Caenorhabditis elegans: one gene and its partners. The protein of the gene in region 2 purifies or fractionates together with the protein of the main gene of each other region. This does not show direct contact. Each region holds a gene or a part of one and is shown on either strand. Other genes may lie near its edges.

Evidence for each region.
Region 1: the proteins of glrx-3 (region 2) and rpn-6.1 fractionate together in Caenorhabditis elegans (co-fractionation; one large-scale study listed by BioGRID). This does not show direct contact.
Region 3: the proteins of glrx-3 (region 2) and nfu-1 fractionate together in Caenorhabditis elegans (co-fractionation; one large-scale study listed by BioGRID). This does not show direct contact.
Region 4: the proteins of glrx-3 (region 2) and mob-4 fractionate together in Caenorhabditis elegans (co-fractionation; one large-scale study listed by BioGRID). This does not show direct contact.

What each region holds. Positions count from the first base shown.
Region 1 is NC_003281.10:6,957,544-6,965,977, forward strand, and holds rpn-6.1 (putative 26S proteasome regulatory subunit rpn-6.1), read right to left. Parts: upstream 4,459-8,434; 5' UTR 4,411-4,458; coding exon 4,365-4,410; intron 3,398-4,364; coding exon 3,305-3,397; intron 3,255-3,304; coding exon 3,031-3,254; intron 2,986-3,030; coding exon 2,856-2,985; intron 2,805-2,855; coding exon 2,476-2,804; intron 2,422-2,475; coding exon 2,116-2,421; intron 2,037-2,115; coding exon 1,848-2,036; 3' UTR 1,567-1,847; downstream 1-1,566. Other genes in the region: CCR4-NOT transcription complex subunit let-711, read left to right, coding at 1-99, 147-414, 514-649; F57B9.1 (Putative pyridoxamine 5'-phosphate oxidase), read left to right, coding at 4,835-4,862, 4,907-5,072, 5,126-5,279, 5,330-5,662; PolyA-specific ribonuclease subunit panl-2, read right to left, coding at 6,370-6,608, 6,673-6,766, 6,812-6,965, 7,013-7,164, 7,236-7,800, 7,850-8,064, 8,110-8,318, 8,375-8,434. UniProt on the Caenorhabditis elegans protein: Component of the lid subcomplex of the 26S proteasome, a multiprotein complex involved in the ATP-dependent degradation of ubiquitinated proteins. In the complex, rpn-6.1 is required for proteasome assembly.
Region 2 is NC_003283.11:4,337,310-4,345,594, reverse strand, and holds glrx-3 (Glutaredoxin 3), read left to right. Parts: upstream 1-4,286; 5' UTR 4,287-4,287; coding exon 4,288-4,530; intron 4,531-5,043; coding exon 5,044-5,706; intron 5,707-6,456; coding exon 6,457-6,588; coding exon of another isoform or gene 6,589-6,592; 3' UTR 6,593-6,712; downstream 6,713-8,285. Other genes in the region: figl-1 (Fidgetin-like protein 1), read left to right, coding at 1-182, 886-1,317, 2,329-2,959, 3,831-3,968; irld-1 (Receptor L-domain domain-containing protein), read right to left, coding at 6,719-6,810, 7,272-7,362, 7,409-7,668.
Region 3 is NC_003282.8:10,384,509-10,391,003, reverse strand, and holds nfu-1 (NFU1 iron-sulfur cluster scaffold homolog, mitochondrial), read right to left. Parts: upstream 3,592-6,495; 5' UTR 3,588-3,591; coding exon 3,536-3,587; intron 3,493-3,535; coding exon 3,430-3,492; intron 3,384-3,429; coding exon 3,305-3,383; intron 3,241-3,304; coding exon 2,751-3,240; 3' UTR 2,653-2,750; downstream 1-2,652. Other genes in the region: Spermatocyte protein spe-26, read left to right, coding at 1-444, 739-1,122, 1,183-1,381; R10H10.3 (CUB domain-containing protein), read right to left, coding at 1,770-2,023, 2,407-2,484; Ankyrin repeat and KH domain-containing protein mask-1, read right to left, coding at 4,262-4,358, 4,404-4,732, 4,801-4,977, 5,029-5,547, 5,599-6,227, 6,275-6,495.
Region 4 is NC_003281.10:8,219,915-8,226,880, reverse strand, and holds mob-4 (MOB-like protein phocein), read right to left. Parts: upstream 1,785-6,966; 5' UTR 1,777-1,784; coding exon 1,717-1,776; intron 1,670-1,716; coding exon 1,543-1,669; intron 1,433-1,542; coding exon 1,353-1,432; intron 1,309-1,352; coding exon 1,222-1,308; intron 1,177-1,221; coding exon 859-1,176; 3' UTR 501-858; downstream 1-500. Other genes in the region: rfs-1 (RAD51-like protein 1), read right to left, coding at 1-111, 206-379. UniProt on the Caenorhabditis elegans protein: May play a role in membrane trafficking, specifically in membrane budding reactions.

The DNA of each region.
Region 1 (8,434 bases), on a different chromosome or scaffold from region 2:
ACTTGCACTTGAGACGTCAACGTATCTCAACGCTGAACATAGCTCATACATCGTATATGGACATTTTCCAGAATTTAGCAATTCAATTGGATACCGAAGGTGAGGTTTTTCGAAAAACGCTTTCAATTTAAAAATCTAATTTTCAGGACGTTACCTTCTTTTCAACGGAATCGCCAATCAACTTCGTTATCCAAATGCTCATACACACTACTTCAGCTGTGTATTTTTGTATCTCTTCAAGAACTCTACAAATGACACAATTCAAGAGCAGATCACACGTATTCTGTTCGAGCGTCTTGTAGCTCTCCGACCTCATCCATGGGGACTTCTTATAACGTTCATAGAGCTCATCAAGAATCCAACATACAACTTCTGGCGTTATGAGTTCACCAGTTGTGCACCAGAAATACAGAGGTAAATTTAATTTATTATTCTCTTAGGCAAATGTTTTATAATCCGATACAATTGTCTTACTATGTTTTCGTAGACGATTTACAACAATATTTCTCTCAGATTGTTCCAAAATGTTGCCAACACTTGTGTCCCAGCCCAAGGATCTCAGCCACAAGCACAACCAGATGGTGCCCCAGGACCTTTAGGAAACAATACCGGAGCTGCTAATCAACAGCAAAACCCAAACACCAACTGATTTTTCTCATCTGGTCTTTCGGTTCCCGATTTTCTGATCTTTATTCTCATCACATTTTTGTATTGGATAGCTTCTTATGTCGAAATACGGGCTGTTCTTGATTTTCTCCTTGTTTTTTCCCTCTTCATTTTCTGCTCTCCAAATCATTCAAACACGGGGCTTCAACACAAACTCAAATTTTTGAGATATATACTACCCCTTTCGCAATTTTTGTAGCTTTTTTAAATTTTTATGCGTGATGTTCGATTATTATTTTTGTTTTATTAATATACATATGTTCACACTAGAATCTCTGCCTTTTTTCCTCGTCCCCAAAATTACCCTTTTCATGCAATTTTTAGATTAGAATAACGAAAAAACGGCTTGAAGTTAATGATGGTTGAATTTTCAGAAAGGGTGGTGGTCTTTTTCTGTAAATTCGACGTTTTCTGCCCGCTTTTTCGTTATTTTAAAGACTTGTACATCCGATAGATCGATTGCGCCATTTTCGACGTATTCCTCCGTGTATAGAAATCTTTTTAAATTGTGTGAAAACATTTAAAATCGCGCTAGATGTCTTTGTCTATTTATCGTTCCCATAACCTTTTTTCAATTTTGCGTCCTTGTTATCTGATATCATTACGATTTGTAGAGGTTTCTCTTTCATTCCCCTTTTACCAATTCGCAATAAAGAACGCGTCATTTGATATACTGAATTTCCAAATTTTTATTAACATCACAGATTTGGATATTACGTAATCATCAGAAAGATATAATTTCTACATTTGTAGCGCGTAATATCTCATAGCGACTTTCTACCGTATAATTGAACTGAAAAATAATTAGTACGGTAGAAAGTCGCTAGAAGATATTTCGCGCCACATAAATAGGAACTCTTTTAACGGTTTTGCAAAGACTTTCTATATACTGAAACAATTGTGCAACTTAAATTTATTGAACAACGTCGGGTTCGGGGGATATTTAAACGTTTACAAAATAATGCAGAATGGATAGTTTGATGCTTCCAGAGGAGGAGAAAAGTGAAAGGTCTAGGTTAAAAAAGAGGGAGTCGTCAATTATAAAAAAACATAATAAATTTTCAAAAGGAGAACGGAGGACTGAACCGTGAGGGAAAATCGAAGAAAATTTAGAAAATGGGAAAAGTCGAGATATTGTACAAAAACAAGGCAGAACAAAAAATGAAGATTCGAAGAAATCATCAGTTAATTTTCGAAGCATTACTATAGAGTGCATCGACAACCTCTCCCATTGCATGAATTGTATCCAGAGCAGTTTGGTACGCCTCATCGGGAACAGCAATTTCAAATACAATAAGCATTCCCTCGCCTTGATCAAGAGATCCCGAAAGTTTTTGATCGAGAATCATTTGGGACAACTTCTTTTCGACCTGAAAGTTTTATAAGTTTGTGTAAAAATTAACAACTTTTTTGCATTTATATTTAAAAAACAATATTTTTGGTTCTTACCTTTGATCTATCAATTCCAATCTGTTGAGCAACATGTTCAATTTGAACGAATGAGTATGGCTCAATAATACGGCACAGATCTTTTTCAAGCATTCGTTCACTCAAAGAATGGAAATGTTTTCGGACAACTGGATCCATTTGAAGTTCCTGTGGGAAAGAACCGAATGCAACTTGGAAATCCTTAAGAGATCTCTTTTGTGCAGCTGCGGCGATCGCCTTCATCGCATCCAAATCAGAACCATTGTATTTAAGAGCAAGTTTTGCGGACAGAAGACTGTTCACCTCATCTGGAAGGTCAAGCATCACCTGAAAAATTTAATATAGGATTTAAATATAATAGTAATTATTTTTGAGTATTACCTTGCACAGAAGCATATACTTAAGAGCGGTGAGGGCGGACACTTTTTCATCAACCGAATCGTATCCCTCAAATGCTTCGTAAAAGTATGAGAAAGCTGTCTTGAAGTCCTTCTCGTCGGCAGCGTGAAGAATTCCCGATTGAAGATCGAGAGCTGCTTGCATGCGAGGATTCACATAGATTGCGTTGGCAGTTGTACGAGCACCAGTGAGAGAAGCACGAGCACGACCAATATTGGAAAGATTATAGTACGCTTTGCTTTCCTCAAGTTCGACTTCCACGAGAACGTCCTTATCGTCGACTTTTTTCAGTTCACGAATCAAATCGGCAGCTGAAAAGTAGATTATCAGTTATTTTCAAATATTACAGCGAAATATATTACCAAGTGGAAGAGCCTGAGTGTATCTTTGAAGATCATTATAGAGGCGAACAAGACGAGCAGTGAGTGTTTGACGGAGGAAAGTGCGATTTTGCTCGGTGGCCCATTGAATACATTCTTTAACGAGTCCAACCTGAAAATAGTTGGGTTTATATTTGAAGCTTATTATTCTGCTCACCTTAATATCTCCATCTTGATCATCAATTTTAAGACATAGATCAACAAGATCTCTGACAAGTTTTGCAGCCTTTGCCTTTCCCAATGACACCAAAAATGGCCTCGTTTGTTCAATCATATTTCGGAGCTCTTCAGTTTGCTTATTTTGAGCCAAAATATTTCCCAATTCCATGATCGAATCTTCTTTCTTCTTGATATCATCGTCCCCAGATGCTGGTGATTTTACTTCAATTTGGGACAAATTGGAAAATTCTGAAATATGGAAAAGGACTCACCGAGATTGGTGAGGTGACGAATGACGTTTTGGTCGTTTTGATGTGGAAGTGAAGTCATTGTATCCATAATGGTTCCTCCAGACATTTCAGGTGCTGAAATTAAGATTTTAATTGCAGTAAAAAGTATTGAATTTTATGGGGTTATTCAAGTAATGTAGCAAAATGTATTAAAATACATTTGTGACGTCACAAATGTATTTAAATACATGTTTTTGTTTACTTGAATACAGCTGTGACGTAACTTTTCTACACTTTTTAATTTTCCGACACTACTTGAATAACCCCATTAAAAATGAAATAACGGAATGGAAATTGTCGGAGCCTCAGAAATCAATAAGTGCTTGCGGAAAACACACCAACTGATTATATCATTTTAAAATATGATAATTATCATTTAATTGATCAATTATCAAAATATAAACGGATAAAACATTAGAAAACTGGTAAGAAACAGAGAGTAAGACAATGACGATGACAATTCCCGCCAGCGTATTTTTCCCGGTGTGGTACGGTACACAAATGGTGTTTGCGGACTTGAAGGTGACGCGAAAATGCACAGAACAGAAAATTCAACAAAATGTTGTTTAAAATACAAATAAAGCTTATTTTTTTCGGGTTGATTAAAAAAATTCGAGTTTATTAAAAATTTACTTTCTCGTAACAATATGTTCTTCGTTGTGGTTAAATTGCACTGATAAAGACCAATAAGGTCAAGCCGCCAGTTTAACTGAAAACGGGGAGCCCTGAAAATAAAGAGTTGTTTTCGAACACCAGCATCGGGGAGCTGACTATGAGCAAATAGCGGGCTCGTATGTAAAAGAGCGGTTAGCACGTGAATTTTTGAGAGTCCTCTTGGGGGAAAAGTGGTGAATTTTAAAATGCTGTGTGGAGATCCAAAAAAAAATCAATGCAGGCATGCATGAAAAACAGGTTGATCAAAAACTTATTCTTTTTTGGAATACAAAATTGACTTTAAAACACCAAGTGCAAATAAATAATATTGAATTAACTCTTTTTCACTTTCAAGAGGTAAAGTTCAGTTTTTCAATAAAAAACGTACCTTTTCCAATATTATTAGTGTCTTCTCGTGAACTCGTTTCTCTCATTAGGACGAAAAGTTGTGTCAATTAAAATAATTTTTTGAAGCAGCTTCGAGGATGTCAAAACTTCAATGTAGATTTCTTTCATATATTTCTGAGCAGCTGACTCTCATTTTCAACTAAAAAACAACTAGTTATTTGGCACATGTTCTGGGTCTCGCCACGACTTATCCCCAAGATCCAATACATTCGTTTCAGAGAAATCTCACTTGATCCCTCGAAATGTTTGTCGTTCCTCGTCGTCTGTCATCTTTTTTATCACTAGGTAATTGATAAATTAAATGATTGTATCATCTCACACTCTAACCGTCTGGTGTCTTTTCATCTCACACGATATATGTATTTCTCTTATCATCTGTTTCTATTTCCTACGGTCATTCGGTCATATTCAGTTCACGAATATCGTCACTTGGCACGTAGATCATACGTTATGGAGACACCATCTATTGATATTCAAAGTGAGTTTATAATAATTTTTTACCAATAATTCTTGATTTTTCAGACATTCGGGCAAAATATCTAAACTCTCATGATCCATATCTACTCGAATCAAAGTTACCAACCACGTCACCATTCGAACTTTTTGATATCTGGTTTCGTAACGTCGCTTCACAATCTGACTTAACATTCGAAGAAATCAATGCAGTATCCTTATCCACCGTCGGAAAGTGAGCATATTACATTCAAAATGGAGAAAAAAACCTAGAAAGTATTAATTCAGAGATCTTCGTCCATCATCCAGAATGGTTCTTCTGAAAGCGTACACACCAACTGGCTTCTCGTTTTACACAAATTATACTAGCCGCAAAGGAAATCAATTGGAAGAGAATCCGAATGCCGCGATGCTCTTTTATTGGCCTAAAGTCAATCGTCAGGTATAATTTTCAACTGCTGAAAATTTGAAATCGAGATTATTTAATTTCAGATTCGAGTTGAAGGTGTTGTTGAGAAGCTTCCAGATGAGATGGCCGTCGCTTATTGGAATTCTAGACCAGTAGCAAGTCGAATCGGATCAAAATCAAGTGATCAATCAAAAGTGGTTCCCGATAGAGAATTCTTAGAATCCAAAAAAGTTGCACTGACAGAGTTATCTGTACGGGAAGGAGCTCAAGCAATCACGAAACCAGAATCCTGGGGTGGATATCATTTGATTCCTCGATATTTTGAATTCTGGCAAGGACAATCGGATCGTCTTCACGATAGAATAGTATTCGAAAGAGATGTTGATGTGTGGCTTCTCAAGAGGCTTTCACCATAATTCCATTCACTTCTATAGTTAAAGTTCGTGTAGATAAAAATTAAAAATATTTTCCTTGAGAAATACGTCGTATTTATTTATGAATTAGACCATAAAATTTTTTCTTACCAACGGAATTACTTCAACAAAAAATTACAAGTTAAAATGAATCAAATTAATCACAATGTATCCTGTTATATTCTTAATCACTTGTGAATTAGTTCTCGAATTATAATTTAAAGAATATGTATTTGATTCTTTAATGATCATTTTCATTTCCGAGTTATTTCAAATCAAAATGTCAATTGAAAATTTCAATTTGAAATAATAGCCCATAGAAAGGTAGGCTATCATTTTCCGAGGTTTGAATAACTTCAAGAACACCGCTTTTGAAGTTGTATTTTTTAGAGAAGAATATAGAATTAAAAATGCTAATAAATTGCAAAATTGTATTATTTACAGAAACAAAAATAAATGGTACATGATATTTTGAGAAAAACAGGGGAATGTTTCAAGAAATAATATTGGGACGAATATTGAGATTACACGAGTATTTAAAATACATGAATTGACTCGCAAAATGGGGAATTGATATACAAAGTGATAGCTTAAGTGAACTTGAGATAATCTGGTACGTAAGTAAATATATAATAATTATTATGCTGAAAGTGATAATTTTCTGGTTTTCTACGAACTTTTACAGTAAGCTTATCTGGAAGGCCTTCAATTTAAACCGACTTCGGTGCAGCATCTGCTGGATTCGTATCTTCTGGAGTTTTTCGTGTAGTAGATACAACCAGAGGTGACGATGTTTGGTTTGGCGATGGACACGGGAGAATAGTGTAGATTCGACGCATTTCTGAACCCAGAAGTCCTTGCTCTTTGATTTCCAGATATTTTCGGTACAGCTTCAGTGCATATCTCGCATCAACCACCGAGTCGTGAGCTTCCATTTGTATAGTTTCGCCTGAAAAATTTATATTTAAAATCTGAACCGAGCTAGACAAGCGAAGTTAAAGGAAAGGCCTCACCAAGAATCTCCTTAACCAGAAACTGCAATGATAACATTCTCTGGGTGCCAAGACGCATCAGAGTCACTGTGTCGATTATCTGTGATTCTGCCACCTGAAAATTAGCTTTTTAGCTAGAACTTTGCAAAAACAATCTTACATGCACATTGAGCACTGTGAAATCATTATGCAGAGCGTGTCCTACAAATGTGACTCCTCGTTGAATCAAAACATGCATTCGTAGAAGAAGCCGCTTGTGGGTTGTCAAGTATTTCTCGGAAGTCGTTGGACACAGATCAGCTTTCACGATTCCACTGAAAAAAAGTGAATAAAGATTGAATTCGAAATAAGTGAAGCATACCTAAACTTCGTGAGATAGTCGACAACTTCTACGTCATCAGTGAGCTTCACGTGATCGTCGAATATGATCCTTTCGCCTGTCGAGTCGACACAGGAGGCTCGACCAACTGCTCTCATCTGCACGGTTTTTCCGTCGAATTCAAGTAGATCGGTCTGTAAATTGAATTTTTTTTTACTAAATTCCGGATTTTTAAATATAGGGTATTCGAAACTTAGTTACTTACCTTAATCTTTATAAACTCTGCATCCAAACCGACTAATTCCTTCTCTTTCGGCAGCTCTTCCAATGATTGAACGGCCAATGACGTCATCCCGTTGCTCGCCAAATTTTCTTCCGCGAGGAACAAATCATTGGAAATAATATCCTCACTCGTTTTCACATCGAAGTTCTTCTTTTTATAAGCCAAAAGCGCGGGAAGTTTCCATCTTCCGTCTATGTGCCTTGCTTCATGATCATGCAATCGGCTCACTAGCTGCTCATTGATTAAAGTCCAGGACGATGAAATAACGGGACTTTCTCTCAACAATGTAACTGGATGAGTCCAATTTACATCGTTTTCTCCATTACCAACAGCATGAATCATCGCATCAAGCTCATAAATCACAGCAGACGGCTCATCATAGTCTGGGAGATCCGAAACATCAGACAAACGAACAATCCCCTCGCAAAGTTGAGCAGCGATTCTGGATGGAATGTAGTGTGCCCACTCTGGTAAATCCACGTCTTCAAGAAGTTTTGTCTGTTCTGCAGGCCAATCGACGAGTCCATGAACAAACTTGCATGTTTTCCTAAATTATCAAGATATTTTAATATGAACAGAATTACAAATTGAATTACTTGTTGCGACAATCCGTTCCAAATCTGCAATTTTTCTTCTCAGAAGGTGACTCTGGCACCGTTCCTAATGCAGAACTTCGATTGCCTCCTGGTTTTCGTTCAAAGAGAGATAATTGCCGACGCCAAAACTCAACAAATCCATTCGATGAAGCGTTTGTGTCAATTAGAAGAACGGGGGAGAGCTCCCGAACTTTTCTCTTACACTCCATTCGGCTCTGAAATTTGAATTGTTTATTTAATTTTTAAAAAAATGGACAAACCATCTGCTTGCAGTCTTCACACTCAATTTCTCCAGAATCATCTCCGATATGCAATGACTTTTCAATAAGTTGGCAAAGCGATGCTTGATAAACTGGAGCATAGTTTAGTTTGAGAAGATGATCCGTGACAGATTCTTGCTGCTGGAGTCCCCGACAACGAATACATCGGAGATGACGATCGAACTTTGAGCAAATTGAACCCGAAGCATCTGAACAACGAAATTTGAACAAAAAACGTTGGAAATTGTTTTATGTTCAAAAATACCTGTTCGAGCGACATCATCGATCACTGTCTTGATGATTTGCTGTGTAGCACTCAATACTC
Region 2 (8,285 bases):
TTCACAATGCGAGGCTTCGATTTTGGAAGCGACGATAAAGTGACGAAAATCAGAGACAAAATCTGCGATATAGTGGATCCTACAAATGCTAGAAGAACTGATCCGAATTTTATTCGGCAAATGCATGAAAATACGCTGAAAGGCATCGAGGTGGCTTCAAATCCGCACTTTAAGAAGACCAGGTTCGTTAAGAGATCACGAAATTCTGAGAATGCGTATTTCACAACATATTTGACGCGCAAGATATCTCGTAGCGAAAAAGAAAACTACAGTAATTCTTTAAATGAAGCGCTTGTGTCGATTTACGGGCTTGATTCTCGGAAAAAGACACATTTTTCGAATTTTGATAGCGATATTCAATTTTTCTTCGTTTTTTTCCTATTCCTTTATCATTTTTGTGCTTATTTTTAATATTTTTTTTCCATTAATAAATTATTTTAATTGAAAAAACTCCAATATTCGCGTCATTTTGATGATAATACTCTAATACTCCACAAGCGTTTTTTTAACACTATTTCCCGTTTATTGCCGTAATAGGCGGGAAATAATATAAAAATACGCCTGTATGAGCTTACTCATCAAAAAAACGCCAAAATTGGAGTTTTTTGCAATTAAAGTAATTTATTAATAGATAAAATATTAAAAATAAGCACAAAAATGACCATGGTATTCGAAAAAAAAACGAAGAAAAATTGAGTATCGCTGTCAAAATTCGAAAATTTTGTTTTTTTTCCGAGAATCGAGCCCCCGTAAATCGACACAAGCGCTACAGTAGTCATAAAAAGAATATTTTGCGCGTCGAATATGTTGCGCAGTACGCATTCTCAGAATTTTGTGTTCCCGTAATATTAATCGATTTTTTTAAAAATGAAAGCGTCGTTTCAGAGCACCTACGAAAAACCGAGCAGCTATCCAAAATACCCTCGGAACCCTCTATCCATCATTTACGACTGCAGCCGGCCAGGATCCACAGAATAGCAAGTTCCAAGTGCCTCTGGATCGTCAATCCAGTTCCCAATCGATTGGAAGCTTGGCAGGGATACCACCGGCCAGAAGAGCACCGGATATCCCGAAACGATGCTCCAATCCGCTCATCAGAAAGGCGATGGGAATGGATACGGAAGGAGGTGGAAAAGATGAAAAAATGAGTGGATTGAGAGCTGAGCCAACGCTAAAGCACTTTGATGAAAATATCATTTCATTGATTGAATCGGAAATTATGTCTGTGAACAATGAGATCGGATGGGCTGATGTTGCTGGATTGGAAGGAGCGAAAAAAGCATTACGGGAGATTGTTGTACTGCCATTTAAAAGACCGTACGTTCTGAAAGGAGAAAAAAAGGGTTTTTCGGGTTTTTAGCTTGCTCAGACTCATAAAGTGCTCAAAAATGGCTGAAATTGGTTAAAATCTCGTTTTTTGTCAACTTTTCCACTTTTTTTGGTGGTTTATTTCACATTATTTTGTTGACGTAGGTACACTTAAAGCCGATAGGTGTTTTTAATTTAATTGTTTAATTTTTTATCGACTTAAATGAACCTAAATTGACGAAAAAATGTGATATAAACCACCAAAAGATGCTAAAAAGGATGATAATTCAATAAAATAGTGTTTCAGCTGATGCGGACAGGAAAAATAGACGAAATTCGAGATTTTAGATAAAATTAGCTATTTTTACGAGGTTTTGAACGCTTATTTTGTGCTTTTAGTCTATACACGCAAAAAAACCTCCTTTAAAGGTGGTGTAGTCGAATTTTTTATTGCATTATTAGACTCAAAATTATCTGAAAACACCGAATTTTATGATGAAACTACTTGGAAACTTCTCAAAAAAAAGTTATGAAGGCTTAAAAAATGTCCTAAAATTAGTTAACATTTGAAATTTGACCGACTTGTCAATGTCGCAGCGGCTGGAAACAATTTTTTTTAAATCACCGTCAAATTTTGAGTATGTAATGTAATTATCTTGCGTTTTCAACTTCACTTAGGTATTTTAAAGTCGATGGACGGCGAGATTTGGTAAAAAAAAACAATTTTAATCTCGCCGTCCATCGACTTTAAAATACCTAAATCGAGTTGAAAACGCAAGATAATTGACCTGTATACTCAAAATTTTACGGTGATTTCAAAAAAATTGTTTCCATCCGCTGACAAGTCAAATTTCAAATTTTAACTAATTTTAAGCCATTTTTTGAGCCGTCATAACTTTTTTTTGAGAATTTTTCAAGAAGTTTCATTATAAAATTCGGTGTTTTCAGACAATTTTGAGTCTAATAAAGCAATTTAAAAAATCCTCCAAAAATTTAATTGACAATTATAATTTTTTTCAGTGACGTCTTCACCGGAATCCGTGCTCCACCGAAAGGTGTTCTTCTATTCGGACCACCAGGAACCGGAAAAACAATGATCGGGAGATGTGTCGCTTCCCAGTGCAAAGCCACTTTCTTCAATATTTCAGCATCGTCGTTAACCTCAAAATGGGTTGGAGAAGGTGAAAAGCTTGTTCGTGCTCTGTTCTCAGTTGCTCGTCTGAAACTTCCGAGTGTTATCTTCATCGATGAGATCGACTCGTTACTATCATCCCGGTCGGAATCGGAACACGAATCTTCACGGCGCATCAAGACAGAGTTCCTGGTACAGTTGGATGGTGTGAATACGGCTCCAGATGAACGGCTTCTTGTATTGGGTGCCACAAATCGGCCACAAGAGTTGGATGAAGCTGCTCGTCGACGCTTCCAGAAGCGACTGTACATTGCGCTTCCGGAGCCAGAGTCGCGCACACAAATTGTGCAGAATCTACTTGTAGGCACGCGTCATGATATCACAAATCATAATTTGGAGCGGATTAGAGAGCTTACAGACGGCTATTCTGGAGCTGACATGAGGCAATTGTGCACTGAAGCAGCGATGGGTCCTATCAGAGACATTGGAGACGATATTGAGACGATTGATAAGGATGATGTGAGGATTCTGAATTAATATCAAACACTTGTGATCGGTGTAATCGCGCTCCACGGCCAATTGAAATTGCCCCGCCTCATAATGCTGGGTCTCGTTAGGAAGAAAAAAAATCCCATTGCTTTTGATTATGCGTTAATATCGAAGCTTCACGTGCATTTTCAAGAATCATTTCGGCATGAAAACCAGAAAGCAACTGAAAATAAATCAAAAAATGCATATAAACGGATGATTTCAGTAAAATCGAATTAAAAACTTGAATTTGCCGCCAATATTACGGTAACACTGAATTCGGAGAATGCGTACTGCACGACATATTCGACGAGCAAAATATCTCGTAGCGAAAACTACAGTGATTCTTTAAATGACTACTGTAGCGCGTGTGTCGATTTACGGGTACGATTTTCGAAACAATGAATCTCGTAAATCGACACAAGAGTTACATTAGACATTTAGAGAGTTACTGTAGTTTTCGCTATGAGATATTTTGCGCGTCAAATATGTTGCACAATACGCATTATATAAATTTAATGTTCCTCTTATACATAACGAGACCCAATGTTTAGCGTTAGAGCGCGATTGCACCTCAATTTAAAAAATCTCATTTTCCTCCGTCCACATAATAAAACACCTCCATGTTCCGAAAATGAACACTTTTCGAAAATTTATGAAATGTCATGCCACAACAACAAACAATTTCGCAACTCTCTCACATGACTGACGAATCTTATTATTTTTTATTTACCATTTGCCGTACGAATTGTCACATTTATTTTCTATTTTTGCACTCGGTCATCATAAAAATTAGATAAACACTCGAGCTCTGAAACATCAAATGCTCCGGTTTTAATCAACTAATCGATGAAAATTTCAGATTCGTGCCGTTACTGTAATGGATTTCGCCGAAGCAGCTCGTGTCGTTCGGCCAACAGTCGACGATTCTCAATTGGATGCCTACGCGGCTTGGGACAAAAAATTCGGTTGCCTTCCACCTCCTTCAATATCCCGTTGAGACCTTCAGAATTGAGCTGTCGAATATGTGTACTATAATTCCATCCACTTCTTCTATTTATTTATTTTTATTTTCATTGAAATCTTCTCCTGTATTATGCATTCCATCTCTTTTCTATATTATGATCTCAAAACGATCCGTATTTCATTGTTTTTTTTTATATTTTTTCTGAAAATTATTATATATTTTCAATTTTTAAACATATTTTTCATTATTCATTATTGAAATTTCAAGGTTTATTTTACCTTTCTCGTATATTTTTTTAATTTTTTTATTCAAATTTCTAGCTTTTTACCATTGCCAGCCAAAAAATTCCAGAATGCCAATTCAAGAAATCAAGTCAGGAGAGGAGGTTGCTGCGTTCATTAAGGAACCATCTCCAGCTGTTCTTCATTTCTACGCATCGTGGGCTCCAAGCTGTGAGCAAGTTAATCAGCTACTGGATGATTTGCTCGCTGAAATTGCTCTGCCGCTTCGTGCCGCCTTCATTGACGCTGAAGCTTTGCCCGGAATTTCGTTGAATTTCAAGATTACTGCTGCGCCGACGCTTGTATTTTTTAGTGTAAGTGAGCAACGAAAAAACAAGAAATTGAAATTTGTGAAAAAAAACAAAGAAAAGTTTCGATTTATTCTGAACTTTTTTTTAGGAAAAAAGTCATTGAAAAACGTTAAAAACCACTGAAAACCACATTTTGAAATCATTTTTTCGTTAAAATACCAACAAAAAACCAAAAAGTCCTATTTTACAAAATATTTATTCAGATGGGTCTCGGCGCGCAAAAAAGTTTATGGTAGTTTTTCATGCAATGTTCAATAAAAATTGCTTCGTTTTCTTTCCATTTTTCTGCTAAAAATGTTTATTTGTACCTAAAAAACTGGTTTCTAAAAATTTTAACAGAAAAAAATGAAAAGAAAACGATAAAATACGCTAAAACAAAGTAATTTCGTTGAAAAATGCAAGAAATAACTACCATAAACTTTTTCTGCGTGCCGAGACCCATCTGAATAATTCCGTGCGCCTTTAAGCGAAATTTTACAATACATCCAATTCATAATAAAAAATGATTAATTTCAGAATGGCAAAGAAGTCGACAGAATCGATGGCTTCGTGCCAAAAGAGATCCAATCAAAAGTTGTTCTTGTTGCCAGCCGATCCCTTTCCCAGAGCTCATCGGATGCTTCATCTACAACCTCTTCCACACCTTCACTGACTCCACAACAAGAAAAGGAAGCTCTAAATGCCAGATTGGGTGCGCTGGTCAATTCTCAAAAAGTCATGGTTTTCATGAAAGGAGATCCATCGGCGCCACGTTGTGGTTTCTCGAGAACTATTGTCGAACTTTTAAATTCACATAAAATCAAATTCGGATCCTTCGACATTTTCTCGGATGAAGCAGTTCGCCAAGGATTAAAGGAATACTCGAATTGGCCAACTTATCCTCAACTCTATTTCGATGGAGAATTGATTGGAGGGCTTGATGTCGTCAAGGAGGAGTTTTCAGATCCACAATTTATCAAGCAACTTCCGAAAGTTGGAGAAAATAGTGAGGGGGGATCACTTGAAGATCGACTCAAAAAGCTTGTCTCATCGCAAAGATTGATGCTATTTATGAAAGGAGATCGGGAGACACCAAAGTGCGGATTTTCACGAACTATCGTTGATTTGTTGAACAAGGCTCGTGCTGATTATCATACTTTTGATATCTTGGAGGATGAGGAAGTCAGGCAAGGGCTTAAGGTTAGCTCTCAAAAAATGTTGTCGAAAAATATGGGGAAATTGCTTTAAAACATGCCTTTGGTACCACAATAACCAAATATCACCGTAAAATTTTTTTATTTTAAATTTTCTAAATTTTATATGATTTTTTGAAAATTGAAAAAATCTCAGTTGAAAAAATCTCGTCGAATTCCGATTTGAACCTCCCGCCAAGTGATTTTAGCGATGGAGCGCGCTTGCTCGTTTTTGTTTTTATTTATTGTTATTGTTTTTCTTATATTCCACCGATTTTTCTTGTTTTCAGTGTATTTTTTCAGGAAATTTGAAGGAAAAGTCAAGAAAAATGTGATTTATCGATTAAAAATCAACATTAAAGGCTTAAATCTTTGAATTGAACTATTTCAGGCTTTTACGCCTTTAATTTTTGATTTTTAATCGATAAATTACATTTTTCTTGACTTTTCCTTCAAATTTCCTATAAAAATACACTGAAAACATGAAAAATCGGTGGAAAATAAGAAGAAGAAAAACACAATAAATAAAAATAAAAACGAGCAAGCGCGCTCCATCGCTAAAATCACTTGGCGGGAGGTTGAAATTGGAATTCGACTCAAACTGAGATTTTTTCAATTTTCAAAAAATCATATAAAATTTAGAAAAAAATTTAATAAAGTTTCTTACGGTGATATTTGGTCATTGTGGTACCATAGGCGTGTTTTAAAGCAGTTTCCCCACTGGCACTACTTCACCTTTAACAAATTAACTTTACAGAAATTCTCCAATTGGCCAACTTATCCACAGCTCTATCTCGACGGAGAGCTCGTCGGAGGGCTTGATGTCGTCAAGGAAGAGCTCTTGGATACGCATTTCCTTCGTCAGATTCCAAGAATTAGAAATGATTAATTAATTCCATTCCACGCTACTTGTCTTCTTGATATATTCCCCGGAAACCCCCCGTTAATTGCCTTTCAAATTACTTTATGTGTGTGTAAACTATTTTATTGTCCATATGAAATAGTACAGAGATTGTTCATCAGTTCGATCGGTCATAGAACAAGATCGTAGACAACGCGGAAGCAAGTGCTACAAACAGGAAACCCATGATTCCGGCGAGTGGTTTGAATACTGAAATTAATTTCACTGTGTTTGAGTAGAAGGATTTGTTGAAAAGCTGTGGCTATGGCTGAAATCGTGGCGAGACCTACTTTAAATAAGTACCAAATGTTGCAAATTTTTACGATATCACGACATTCAAAGTGGTCTGGCCAGCCGCAACACATTTTTTATGCCAAAACTACGGTACCCGGTCTCGACACGAAACATTTTAAACTAAATTCAAACTGGTGTGCGCCTTTAAAGAGTACTGTAATTGAAAACCTTCTTCGTCGATTTTGCATAGTTTCTTGTTTTATTGATCAAGTTTTACACATTTCGACCAAAAAACTATAAAAAATCGATGAAAATACCGCAGCAACGAAAGTTCTGAAATACAGTACTCTTTAAAGGCGCACACCCATTTGAATGCAACAAAAATGTCGTTTCGAGACCGGGTACCGTAAGTTGGCCCAAAAAAAACCAAAAATTACCATCCTCCAGGCAAATTTCTGCGGAGAGACTCGAGTCGATAAGGAATGTACGAGCTGGATGTCCCGCCAAATACCACAAGTTGTAATCATTCTGAAATTCTCAGTAGAGCGAGTTTGCTTACGCATATCACACATACCATATCAATAACACGATTCTTATTTTTAAGAACCGCAAACTTTATCGGATGTTGGGTCAGAGCCTTCGAAAATTGACCGCCAACTGAAAATTTGACGTTTTCGTTGAAGAGGACCAAAATGCACGGAAGAAGCGATGCATTGATGGACCGGAGAGACGGGAAATGGATTGGAGAGCTGATATTTGTGTTGTTCGCAATGATTATCGATCCGTGCACGTGGCGAACACGTTTGTAGACTTCAATTGGAATTGCGATGTCAGCTGAGAAAGAACCGGAATTTTGAACTACCAGGTCTCACAGCGAACAATTTTTGTTTGTTTTTGATATTAGATGACTTTCAAAAAGATGCACTGCGGCCACGTATTATGAAGACGTAGAAAAATGCGTCTTTTAAAATCGAGGTGCAATTGCGCTCCACGGAAAAATGAAATTGCCCGCCCCTAGCCGTTGGGTCTCATTAGGTATTTACGGCAAAATCGTAAATACTGAAACTAGGCCAGCTTATTTTCAGCTCCTAGGCCAGAGGAATTATTGATTTGTTAAATAAATTTCACACGATGTTGCAAAGACTATTTTTTTACTTTTGAGAATCAACTCGCCTTTCTTCCACTTGAAGTACACATCCTACAGGAACACAAAATTCTGAAAATGCTTATTGCACAACATATTTGACGCGCAAAATATCTCGTAGCGAAAACTACAGTAATTCTTTTAATGGCTACTGTAGCGCTGATGTCGATTTACGGGCTCAATTTTTTGAATATTTAAATTAATTTATTTTCGCTTAGCGAGAGCTATATTCCATTTTCAAATAAATTATGTTTTCAATCAAATGTGTTGCGCGATACGTATTCTCAGGGGGGGGAGGGGGGGTTAA
Region 3 (6,495 bases), on a different chromosome or scaffold from region 2:
CCAATTCCATCCGTCACTTAAACCAGCACGCCGAACTCGAGATGTTCTCATCATCATCGGTGGATGGCTTCATCGACAAGCATGTGATAGAATTGAATGGTTTGATCCGGAGAATAACTGCTGGAAAGTGTCCCAGCAGAAGCTACCAACAACACTTGCATATCATGGATCAGCAATTGTTGATGGAATTCTCTACTTGTTCGGTGGTTCGACTGGTCAGCGCACTCGTTGCGAAACATGGAAATTGTCAACGGAAACGTGGCAATGGGATCGATGCAATAATATGATGGAACCACGAAACTACATTTCAAACAGTTCTGTGGTGTATGACGGGAGGATTTATGTGTTTGGAGGACAGAATTTCAGAGAGATCACTCGAACTGCAGTGAGAAGTCGTACAGGAGAGGTTTTCGATCCAAAGACCAATAAATGGACTGAAACTGCGTAAGCCCTGTGGCGTTTTTAAATCGACTTGGAAATGCTCTCCGTTGCCAATTGAGAGCGCTTTGCTCCCGAATCATGGGCCTCGTTAGCCCTTTGGTGGAAAAAAAAACTGTAAGGAAATGACATCGATTTCGGAATAGTTTTGCCGCCAAATACCTAACGAGACCCATGGTTCGGGGGCGGAGCGTTATCAATTGACCGTAGAGCATGTTTGCATGTCGATTTCAAAAGTGGTTTTTCTGCATCTTTATAATGTTTTGCTTGTATCCCGATTAATCTGCTTTATATTTTTAGAAGCCTATCAGACATGCGTTCCGACTGTGCTGCTGAAGTATTTGAGAATCAAATCTACGTTAGTGGTGGTTTCAATGGTGACATGATTCTTGCGTCTGTTGAAGTCTACAATCCAATTGGAAATGTTTTCTCTCGAACTGTTGATCTACCGTATCCAATAACTGGTCATTGTCTTCTCAACCACGGTAACCAATTGCTTATTGTTGGAGGATTTGATGGTGCCGAACGACAAAACAAGATTTGGATGTGGCACAGAACTGGTGAATGGCAGCAACGACCGGAGAAGTTGATCTATGGAAGATCAACTAGTGCAGCATGTTCTTACAAAGGATGGTTATTCTCAGTGGCTGGATATACGGAGAAAGTCGAAGCTACTTGTGAAATGTATGTTAATTTTTAAAGAATTTTTAGCTCGATTCGAAATTCAACAATAACTTTTTAAAGATTGCTCCCTGAACCGAATGCATCTCGATTCAGTTTTATTCCTGATGTTCCTAGAGCCAAAAGTGCATTGAACGTTTTGGTGGCACCAAATTGGAGAAACTTTCTGGAACGTAGAGGAACAATCAATGAACAATCAATGGAAATGGATGATGATTATGAAGATGATGCTGGTGCATCGTACATGTCAATTAATAATTGAACTTTTGACATTTTTACTCGGAAAGTAGATAAATGAGGTTTCAATTTCCAGTCAATGAAAAGTTCAAAGATATAATCTATTTGAGCATGCACATCTTAAGGCGTTTGTCCCACATTTCTTGCCTGCCTATGTGCCTGCCTGTCATTTTGTGCCTGTGATCAGGCGAAATAACTTTACCTCAGTACCAAAATTTACCCTTTTTTAACTTTTTTGGAACGAAAAAATACAAAATCGTTTATGAAAACAATTTTTGGCATAAAACCAAAAACCTAAAACACCTTTATAAAAGACAGCCCTTGCTTGTGCGTATGTTCTTATATACGTACGACGTCGTACGTATCTTATTTACATTTGAATTATTTAAAATTGTGAAAAAATAGAAACTTACTGTACAAGTTTCTTCGACACTACAGTTGGTCCATCATAAATTGTGATGAAGTCACAGCAAGATTCCAAATCAAAATGAGAGAATGAAATCTTGAGAACTTTTCCTGGTTCAGCAGAAATGTAATAGTAACACTTGTCATTTGGAGGATAATTGTATGGATACAATGGTGAATTAATGGTTCCATTGTAATAGAAATCATTGTTAACTGGGCATCCAATAAAGTCGTCGTTTGATACGATCACTTTGTCATGATTCTGATAAATTTATATTCTACAGTATTCTAAATTTATAATTTACAGACACAATTACTCAGACGCGAACTTTAGCGACAGTACCCGGTCTCGTCACGATAAAATTTTGATAAATGCAAAAGTTGTTGTCTCATGTTTTTCTGAAGATTTTTGTATTTTGATTTCAAAATGTAGTTTGTTTAATAAATAAAAAAACATATTTTTCTCGAAAAACTATGAAGAATTGACCGCAGCAAATAAAGTTTGGATATACAGTTCACTTTAAAGGCGCGTACCTTCCGCATTTATTAAAATGATGTCGTTCAGAAACCGAACCAGCCGCAAAAATAGCAAAATTCCGCGTCTGGATAACATTGAAAATTCAAAAACTTGAAAAAAAAACTAACATGAATCAAGCTTTTCTTCTTATACGCAGATACTCCTAAATTTAAAATAATAGCGACGAGAAGAATTTGTTTCAACATTTTGAGCAGCACTCTGACTGATTTCTTATCAATTTACGAAGCACAATTTTCCACTTTTCCGGGTGATAAGTCTTTTAACTGATATCACTGATTTGGACTGGGCCGTTGAACTTTGACGTGATTCGATGATTTCAGAGTCATAAACCAATTCTACTAATACGACTTTCAAAGTAATAAAAAAGTTTTTATAAATATTCATTGAACATTTATCTCTAGCAGCAAACACTAATAAAAACAAATCTAGTTATACACGAATCAATTATCAATTAGTCTTTGATTCCTTTTGATTGCTCAAATTTCTTCAACTCTTGTTCCACAAGATCATCGGATTCATCCTTAACTTCGATAACTTCCTTCACTTCAGGCACGTAGAATGTGAGCATATTCTCAATTCCATTTTTTAAAGTGACTCCAGAGCTTGGACATCCTGTGCATGAACCTTGCATCTTCAATTTGACAACACCATCGTCAAAACCAACATAAGTGATATCTCCACCATCTTCTTGTACCATTGGTCTGATACGTGTCTCTAGAATTTCTTTGATCATCATTACAACTTCATCATCTTCTTCCACTTGGTCGGAAACAGTTGCAGCTTCATTTATGACAGGTTTTCCGGTTTGAATGTGATCAGCAATTGTTGAGAAGATTTCCGGACGGAGGAGAGCCCAGTCAACAGTCTCATCTGATTTCGTGACAGTTACAAAATCTTCTCCGAAGAACACACGCTTCACTCCGTCGACTCGAAGAAGTTTTCTGAAAATTTACAAATAAATACTATTTTATCTGAATGGTAGTTAAAATTTGGAATATTCCTTACATAGCAAGTGGACTTTGTTTTGCTGTAGCCGCTGAGCTGAAATCGTATGTTTTCGAGGCGTCTGGGAGAAGCTGTTGACCTGAAATACTACATTTCAGATTTTAAACAGTGAAGTTTCCACTAACCAGGTAAAAATTTTAAAGAAAGTGGATTAGGTGTCTCCTGAACTTGAATATACATTGATCGAGCTGAAATTTTAAAAAATGAAAGAATTTCTGGAACCAGTATCACCTGCTTGTACAAAGCTCCGGTTCAGTCTTGTGAGCATTTTTGATGAAATCATTTTTCTGAAAATTTTTGTTCTTTCAACATCTACCGACTTAATTCTCAAGATATAGGAATCAAAACCTCGAGTTGTACATTTCAATAGCCTAACCTGTATACTTTCAAGAATCACGATTCATGGATCAACATAAAGCGAAGAAAGTCATAATTAATTAGCAATGAAATAAATGCCCAGGTTTCATATGAAACAACGAGTAAAACATCAAAAGTGAAAAATAAGACACACTTTTCAATAAAGGGAAGAAAAAGTTGGGACCATTTGACATCCGTCTCAAATACATATGTGTTGTGTTGGAAGACTTGAAAAATAACCGAAAAAAAAGAAGTAGTATGTCGGGGGAGATATAAAAAGAACAAAAAATGGGTAAACGGGAATAATTTGGACAGAAGAGTACAATTTCCACAAGGCTGAGCTCGCAAGAAAACACTTGCTAGGGATGGGAAAGATCGAACATTTGAGAGTTGAAAGAAAAAATGGACCAAAAAAGGCTAGATTTAAAATGAAGAAAAAGTGTTACAAAACCCGGAACGAGGAGACGAAATAAAGAAAAATGGATGCAATTCAACCGGGAAGACATATTGTTTCACGGTTGAATAAAAAACAAGTAAACACCGAATTATTATGAGGGGAGGGGGGACTAATTGACAAGAAGACGATTTTGTGAGCGATATCTACCAGTTGGAAGACCATTTATTTGACGAGGATGACTGATGATTTTGTTGGCCAGATGCAGACTGCTGTTGCTGTCCAAGTCGGTTCCAATCCATTCTGTAATAAATAAACAAATATTTAATTAGAAATCGTAGAACTTACGCTTGAGGCATCTGACCGTAAGGCTGTTGCTGTGAACTCTGTCCGTATTGCTGATACATTTGCTGCATAGAAGTTCGAGATGGGTTCGTCGTGGAAGATGCATTTCCAAGAGAAGAGAATCCAGGTGGAGCTTGTGGAGCAACAAATGGTGGCGGTTGGGGCCGAGGTTGGATCATTCCGAGTCGCGATTGATTTGCAGAAGCGTTGCTGGGAGCTCCGAACGGCTGTGGCTGTTGAGAGTTATGCATGAACGATTGTTGTGCGAGTCCTTGTTTCTTCTGTTGTTGTTGTTGCTCGAGAATAGCAGCAATAACGCCATCAGAGTCATTCTAAATTTCCATTCATTAATTTTTAAACTGATCCTGCTATCTTAACATCAAATTTGTCCTAAACTTACATTAAATCCATCAAATTGCTTTATTCCTCTCTGTGACAATGACGGCATGCTAATTTGCCCTAAAACACTGGCATCCGTATACGAAGGTGATGGATAGTAGCTATTTGCAAGTTGACTACTTGTTGGACCAGGTGCTCCTGTAGAACTCTCTTGATGAGTCAATAATTGGGCGGCAAGCTGCAAATAAATCAAATAACGTATTTTCAGACATAAATCACGGATCCCTACATGGTTATACAGATTGGATCCCTGTCCATCTTGACCTAGCGACTGCATCTGATTGTAAAGTTGCTGCTGCTGTTGTTGTGATTGTAGCATTGAAAACTTTGAAGACATCAAGTCACTTGGTTGCTGAGAACTTTGAGACTGATGCTGTTGGTATTGTTGCTGGAATTGCTGAATCCTTTGCTGTTGTTGTTGTAGTGCTTGCTGCTGTTGAAGGTGTTGAATTTGCTGTTGTTGTTGCTGTTGAATATTCGTGGAAGTGCTATTAGCAACAGAATTCGATTGAGATCTTGCAAACAGGGGTGGTTGAGATCTATTCGGATCACGAGCAGACGGTGCAAATGAGGCTGGCATCCAACCTTTCAGTTCCAAAGAAGATAATCCAGTAGTAACAGAAGACGTAGATGGCTGCTGCACTGGTGCTGATGATATGGTTGAAGCACCTTGTGGACTCGAAGTAGCATTAGGAAGTGATGAGTTAATAAGAAGCTGCGATATGAACTCGTTTTGTCCCCATTCATTCTGAAATAAGATAAAAATTTAGAAATTTGTTTTCAATGCTGTTAAACTAACCGATGAATCATTTTTTGAGTTGGAATTGTTCAAACTCGAATTGGCACCCAATTGTGGAAGGAATTGAGAAAACAATCCTCCCCAAGCTGAATCTTCATCTGATTTTCCCCATATGTTCCCGACTTTGCCTTCATCAAACATTCTCATTTTGGAAAAATCGAAGTCATCACTGTTTCCATTTTTGTCGTCGTTTTGATTATTTACTGAAGGTTTGGCAGGGATTACGGTAGCAACAGAATTCATTCCAGTCGGTTTGAATTGACCAAAAGCAAGTTGTTCATCAAACAATTCGTTTCGAGCTGTAGTCATATTGTTTTGAGTCTGTTGTTGCTGTGGTGGACCAGGAGCACGAGAGAAATCAGTTGAAGGGCGAGTTCCGGGTGCTTTGGAGAAAGAAGACTGCGAAACTTGAACCGATGATTGTGGTCGTGAAATTGGTTGCGAGTATCGCTGACCAATTGGGTCTGGAAGACATGGCTGAGCAAGCTTTTGTTCTGGTCGCGCTAGCTGTTGCTGTTGCATATGTTGAACAGATTGAACAGATTGAACTGGATGAACTGGTTGAATCAGAGGAGTTGTGGTTGGCTCTCTCCGGAGTGATGGAGCAATAACACGATCAAGAACATTTTCTGAAAATAAACAAAGTTATTCAGAGACAAGGAGAAGGAAAACGTACGATTGGGTCTCGATGGAGCTGCAATTGAAGAAGCGGGCACTGGAGCAACAAAGTTCTCTGCAGGAGCAACTCGAACAAGAGTCTCAGACGCTTGATCCTGCCGGGATTGTAACTTTGATTGCTGCTGCGTAGATGGAATTTGTGGAGCTTGCTTCGGTGACTGTGAAATTCGTTTCGTTTCCATTAAGGGCTCAACTTTCTCTTCTCGTGCTGCCATTCTT
Region 4 (6,966 bases), on a different chromosome or scaffold from region 2:
ATGTTCAATATGTAAAAGAAGGTGATCCGTTCGTAGAGGAGTCGCACCGATCCAGCCCATTTTTGCAGTTTTTTTGGTTTGAAGAAATTTCGCCGCAAATGAGTAGCATATCTGAAGAGAAAAAGATAAATTAAAAATTTGGAGTCTTTAAAAACTTTTAGTAATGTTATGGAAAATTCTCTAAATAAAATATATGAATTCATACCTGTGTTTTACCAACTCCTAAATCGCCATCAATTTCGTAGCATTTTCCTGGATGAAGTTCTAGAACCGGATCCAGAATTGAAAGGCATGTTCTCAAAAACAGTCTTTCTGCTCCAAGACGTACCAGAAGATCGTAGGCAGTTTCGTATTTGAATACATTCTCAGAAGGATCCATGGGAGTTTAACAATTTAGTGTTCCCTGTGTGAAAGCACAGAGAATTTGAGAAACTGAAAATGAAAAATAAATAAATAAAGGAGCAAGCAACTGTTTACAACAGAAAATCATATTATGTGACTTCTCATTTATTAATTTATTCGCAAGTTTTCTACTTTGTAGCTCATCTGGTACGTACAAGTATTACTTGAGATAGATTCGAATAGGGATCATTAGCGAATGAGAGAAATGTATCGAGTAGGAAGTTCATGGATGGAAATGGTACAAGGGAAGAAAGAATGTGCATTTTCCCATCGGAGAGATTGTGACTAAACGAAAGCTGGATGTAGAAGAAAAAGTTAGAAAACGGAGCTGTGTTGGAAAAAAAGAGAATGGAGAAAAAAATGACGGTAGGAATGAGATGTAGGGTAGAATAGAAATATTTTTAAATTATCATGGATTAGCGATTTGTGCAAGAAAATTTGGAGAAGCCAAGTATATTATTGAACCGTTGTTTGTTGTTGTTGCTGCTGATTTGGAAGAATGGGAACAATAAGATGCTCTTGTTGCATCAGATTGTACTTCGACACGTATGTGGTGAATCGCTTGCAGAGATGAGTTTCATTTTCAAACTCGTCGAACAGCTTACGATGATGGAAGAATGCGTGCGAAAATATGCGATAGACGCGACGAGCTACAGATCCCAGCTTTGAAATTGAAATTTCTTTGATGTTGACTCGGCTTGGAAAATACTTATTCGAGTTGAGCAAGGTGGCGGCTCCGTCTAGTGTATGACGTGTGTAATCGATCGCTGGACACTGTAATTAAAGAAGTTTATAAACATTTTCTCGTTAGAAAAATACCTCATTTGGGTTCTTATGAGCGGCACACAGGAAAATCCATTGTTCGGTGGCGGTCATTTGTTGGCAGGTTTCTGGGATACATTCTCTCTGAAAACCCAATACTTGAAGATGTAATAAAATTGAACACAAACTTGGAGGAGAAGAGCTAAGCCATTGAGCTCGATGCAAAATTGACGAAGATGTTCGTACTTCCACACTCCTTCATCTTGATCTGAAGTAAAGATGTTTAGAAAATAATTCGTGGACTCAGGATGAAACTGAATTCTTCTTATTTTTAAAGAACATTCTTCTAATTCTTGAATAAAGTTTCAGCTTTCTTACCCAATGGAGGAGTTAAAATTGTGGCAACATCAGCTGGATTCGCTTTAATCGTCTGTTGGATGTACTGTTGAATGTTCAGAGCACTATCCATTTCCTCAAAAGCCAGCGGCGACCAGTTATTCCAATCCTGCAACACGAAATGTTTTTGGTTTCAATTCAAAACGTTTAACTCACTGCTCGTTTTGTTCCCGGACCATTACGCCGAACAGTTCGATTTTCTGTAGCGGCCGTCATGTTTAAAACTGAAAACATAAAATTAATTGTTTGAAATTATAAAAATAACACGTGTTTTGAGCTGAAAATGTTTGAAAAACGAGCGCAAGAAAAATGAAAGAGGCAAATTGAAATTTGTTTTGTGGAACGGAGTGTCGTAGCGCGCGTTGTTTAGCATTACGAGGCTTTGGCAGATACTCATTCTATTCTGTAATTTCCTTTCATAAATTACAGAATAGAATGATTCGTGGCAGGAGTGTACGAAAAAAAAAACAAAAAACTGTTCATTTCGTTGCAATAATCAACTTAAAAAGGAAATTTATACGATAAGAAACACAATAATTTTGCCTTTTTTGAAATGCAATTTGAAATACAAAACTTCAATTTATACTATTAAATAATCTAAACATATTATATTTTGGCACTTGTAGCGACCACTATTACTGATATCGTTGCAAGAACCACTCGGAGAATCAGTGTAGTCATTTAAAGAGACGCTTTTCGTTGTCACGAGGGTACTGTAATTGGATGTAATTTTAATAATTTCAAATTATCATAAAATCGGTTCGAGTTATAATTCTTTTCAGATTTATTGTGCCTGAGCACAGACTTAATTTGACTAAAAGTTTAAAGACCTCTAGATAGAACGGACTGTAACCGATTATCGCTATTCCGTGAAAAATTGATACTCTAATTTAAAGGCACAAGCAGTTTCTCTGCATGGGTCTCTCCACGATCTCAGCTACAGTGGCCGCTAAAAAGAGAATAAAATTCCAAATTATAAACTGTACAGCGAAGACCTGGATTTTCCATCAAACAGTATATTAGTAGACAATTCTGAAAATTTCAAAAATATGGTTTTTCAGTTTCCAATCATTCTCAGCCCTTTGTGTTATGTCTCAAAGACACGAAGAGTTGAATATTAGCAGGGTTTATTGGTAAAACTTAAAACCAGAATAAATCATCATACAGAGAAAGTTCGAGTTCAATATTTGGCCACGTGTCGATGTCATTTTCATAGTTCTTCAAAGGTCATCGGTCACGTCAATAGAATAAATAAAACATTTCTTGTGTAGTTGGCCTCTACACAACAGGCCAACTACACAATTTCAAAAATATGGTTTTTCAGTTTCCAATCATTCTCTAGCCCTTTGAACGACCAAAATGCCAATGGAAACGATCCTCACAATTCTTTTCTGAATAAACTATTTATCATGTGTGTCACCTTGTTTTAACGCTTTGCTCGTGTTCTAGGATGTGTGACTATTTTTCTTGAGAATTGTTTAAAAAAATTGTAACTTATTGAAATCATTCCATAACTTTATTCCAAGTATTACTCAATACAATCAATAGAAATATCCCAGACACGATTCATCTCTTCAATGATCTTCTCGATATTCTCCGATTCTGGAACAAATGCGACCGTCTGAATCCCCAACGTCTCGTCTACTTTCAACACACATCCAGTGTTCTTGTAGAAGTTGCAGTACATGGGAGCAGAGAAGATGGTGATAAGCTTCCGTCCACTCAATACCCAATAACCATCGAAACACATTTGGTGAGCACGGATGATAAGCTCGACACCAAGACGTTTACAAACGTCATCAATCACATTTGTTCCGAAGGTGAAGCCAGATCCACGTGAACTTGTCTTCCATTCAAAAACAGATGGATCCGGATCAGCCCAGAGCATGTCATTCACAATTCCACGAAATGGGTTACGAATTGGTTTCGGGTGATTGCGAAGTTCCTGAAATGGAATTTTTAGGAAAAACGACTTCTGTTAACTAACATCAAGACATGTCAGAGCAGGAGACAATCCACCATGCATGCATAGAATCTTTGTAGCGATCAAAGCGGAGATTGGAAGATTGTTAAAACAACGCTGAAATATTTTTAAATATAGAAAGTCTAGAATGAGAACACATACCTGGAACAAAGCCCAAATCTCCTCTCCACACTTTGGAATCGAAGTCACGCATTCTTCATAGAATCCATATTTTTTATTGACTCTTGCAATTTCATGATTTCCACGGAGCAGCACAATATTCTCGGGATAGCAGATCTTATAGGTGAATAAGAGCATTATACAGACTCATCATTCCTCGATCAACATAATCACCAGTGAAAACATAAACTGTCTCAGGAGGACGTCCCAATAGAATGAACATGTTGATAAGATCGTTGAATTGTCCGTGAAGATTTCCAACTACGACACATGGTGGATCGATGTCAACAAGAGCTTTTTCCGATGAGAAGATGGTTTGAGCCTCGTAGATCACATTCTCAAATTCCTCCTTTGTGTAGTGCATTTTGTGAACCTGGAAAAAGAATTCGTGAAAAAGAAAAAGATCAGTCAAAAACCTAAAACCTAAAAACTCCTCAGTTTATTTAAATTCCCTCCAAAAGTTCGCTGATTGATTTTAAAATGGGCGGTGCTAAGCGCAAGAACATTCAAATTTCAAGGTGAAATCCCACTTTTACCGTACTTACACCGGCTTGCATCACTTGATAATGACGATCGAGGAACTCAACAAAATCAATTCTCTCCTGTGTTCGGTTTTGTGCAGTCATCTCCGGTCCATGTGCCATTTTTTTTCTTCTCTCAGAGTTTTTCGCCATTTTCTTCGTCAATCGATTCTGAATCTCAACTGCTGCTTTGATTTCAGTATTCTTTTTCGACAAAGCAATAGGCTTATTAATCTCACTAAGAGAAATAGTTCGACCTGATGTTGGTTGAGTTTTTGCCATCGAACGAACGCTTGATTTTCTATAAAATGTTCATTAATTTCAGAATTATTACAAGATTAAACTAACTCTTTAATAATACAACCTGGACGCTCATCCTTTTCATTTAAAACATTCGACTTATTTTTGCGTTGTCGATTCATTGGAGACATTGCCACGACCCGATCCTTCTTCCCTGATCTTGCTTTGGATCGAGCTTCGTGAGCAGTTTCCTCTCCATTTGAAATTTTTCAATTCGAGACGGGAGCTTGCGATTTCTCCGCCATTTTGTTGCGACAATAATGTGAAATAAATTATTTTTGAGAGTAGTTTAAAAAAACAAGATTATCATGGTTCTTCGTGGTACCACGGAAAAATAGTAGAAAAATACGTTTAAAACTTTATTTTTTAAGTTAATTTTTTCAAGCTTAAAGCAGAAACACCTATCAAATCGATTCCATTAACACATTTTCATTCAGTTTTATCCTTGATTTCTGGAATTTTGTTGAATACATTTGGATACTTGGAAGATCGAGAAAATCAAATATATTATTCCACCTGAAAATTGTAATTCATCAATGAACGGGACAATTAATTTACTGTGTTTCCCCTAATAGACTTGCACCACCCTTGCTCTACTTTGAAAGCGAATATATTCGTTCTTTTTTGTTGTATTCAAAAACTGTCAACTAACAAGATAAGTGCAAAATATTTCTCTATAGAGAGCCGAGATATAAGTCATTAAAATAGAGCACACTCTCTAGTTGCAACGTACCGAACATTTTGTAAATTTTGCGTGAATTTTCAGCCAACAATTTTAGATTCTCTCCGGCAATTCAATGTCTTCAGAAAACTTTTAAAAATCATTGGTTATACGGAAGCCATCAAAAGACGTTTGTCTCCTAGTAAACTGTCACTGCATTTTTAATGAATTTTGCAGTGGATATACAATTAACATCTTGGAAGTTGAATAAATATATTCAGAAGAGTTCCCATATCAACTAGTTTCTAGTGAATAAATCCCCAACTTCCAAATTCGGAATTTCAAACCTGAAATGTTGACAAGCGTGATCCTCCCATCCTTTTCCATAATTGTCTTCGTACCTTCATCCTTTTGTGTATGCTTCCTACCACGCTGTCACCTGCTTTCTTTCGGTCGGATGCTCCGCGCTTTCAGTTGCTCCATCAATGGGAAGGTTACTCCAAAGAACCGCAAATGCGCGAGTCAAGACACCTGTCGATAACTACCATCTTTTTTCCACCGAAAAACGAAAACATACCGTACTGCATTAATAGGCGGAAGAAGATGGGAATGAAAACGATTACCCCCTCTTAGACTGCCGGTTAATTAATTTACGGATTATTGTATATAATCGGTTTAGTAATGATTTTAAATTAGCATAAAGATAAGTGAACATGTACGAGCTCATTGATAAAAAAGTGATTATAGCTGCCAACTTTTGAAATTGAGAAACATTATTAGATTAACATAAAAACGTTCAACTTTGGCAGATTATATCTCAGTCGTCTGTTCTATTGAAAAATTATCAATTGACAACATATTTTTTTTCTATAATTTTGTAGTTATTTGTTTATAGATAACTTCAAAACAAGCAGAGATATAACGATTCAAAGTGACTTAAGAAAAAATACAGCTCATGAAAAGAAACCTCAGAAAATTCAAATTAAATTCGAGCAGTTTTTCGTGGGTGCAAGATTTTTTATTTTCAGACCAAAATAAAGTCACAGGAACAGTGCAAAAAAGTACCATCTTTCTGTATTAAAAATAAGAAAATTTCAATTTCAAAATTGATAAAGTTGTCGGGATTCGAACTTCAAAAAAACTTAATAAAAGGCCAAGTAAAAGTTAACAGGCGTTAACTTTTATTTTAATATAACTCGGTAAATCCATTTTTTAATTCCCCTCCCCAAAAACCGTATCTATAACGTTTCTGCACAACTGAGTCAATTATACCTCAATATCCCGAACGAATGCATGTAATGTTGCGTAAGACACGAAGACATCAAAAGACGGCTGTCATCATTGTTTCTGCAGCATCTCCCGACTCGTGTCATGGCACTCGTCAAGCGTCTGGTGTCGGCATGGCACTTCATAGATTCCTCTTTAGAGAATACTGTTATCAATTAGCTATGCAGGTCATGTAATGACAGATGTTCATAACTGGATTACAAGTTAGTATGTGTAACGACTTGTGTGTATCGGGTACAGTTTCTCCAGCTGTCAGGTAAATGTTTGTATAGGAATTAACAGGTAAGATCAACATAAAAATATAATATATGAAGTTTTCAAGATATAGTATTTCAAGTTTGAGGATTACATAACAGTTATCTTCAAAAATTCTAGAAAAAATATCAAAAGGCGTTCTAAAATTTGATGATATTCTTTATTACTATTAACTCCACATTGACAGTTTGTATTGGTTATTTTTGTGATATTCAAATATTTGATATCTGGAAAAAAAT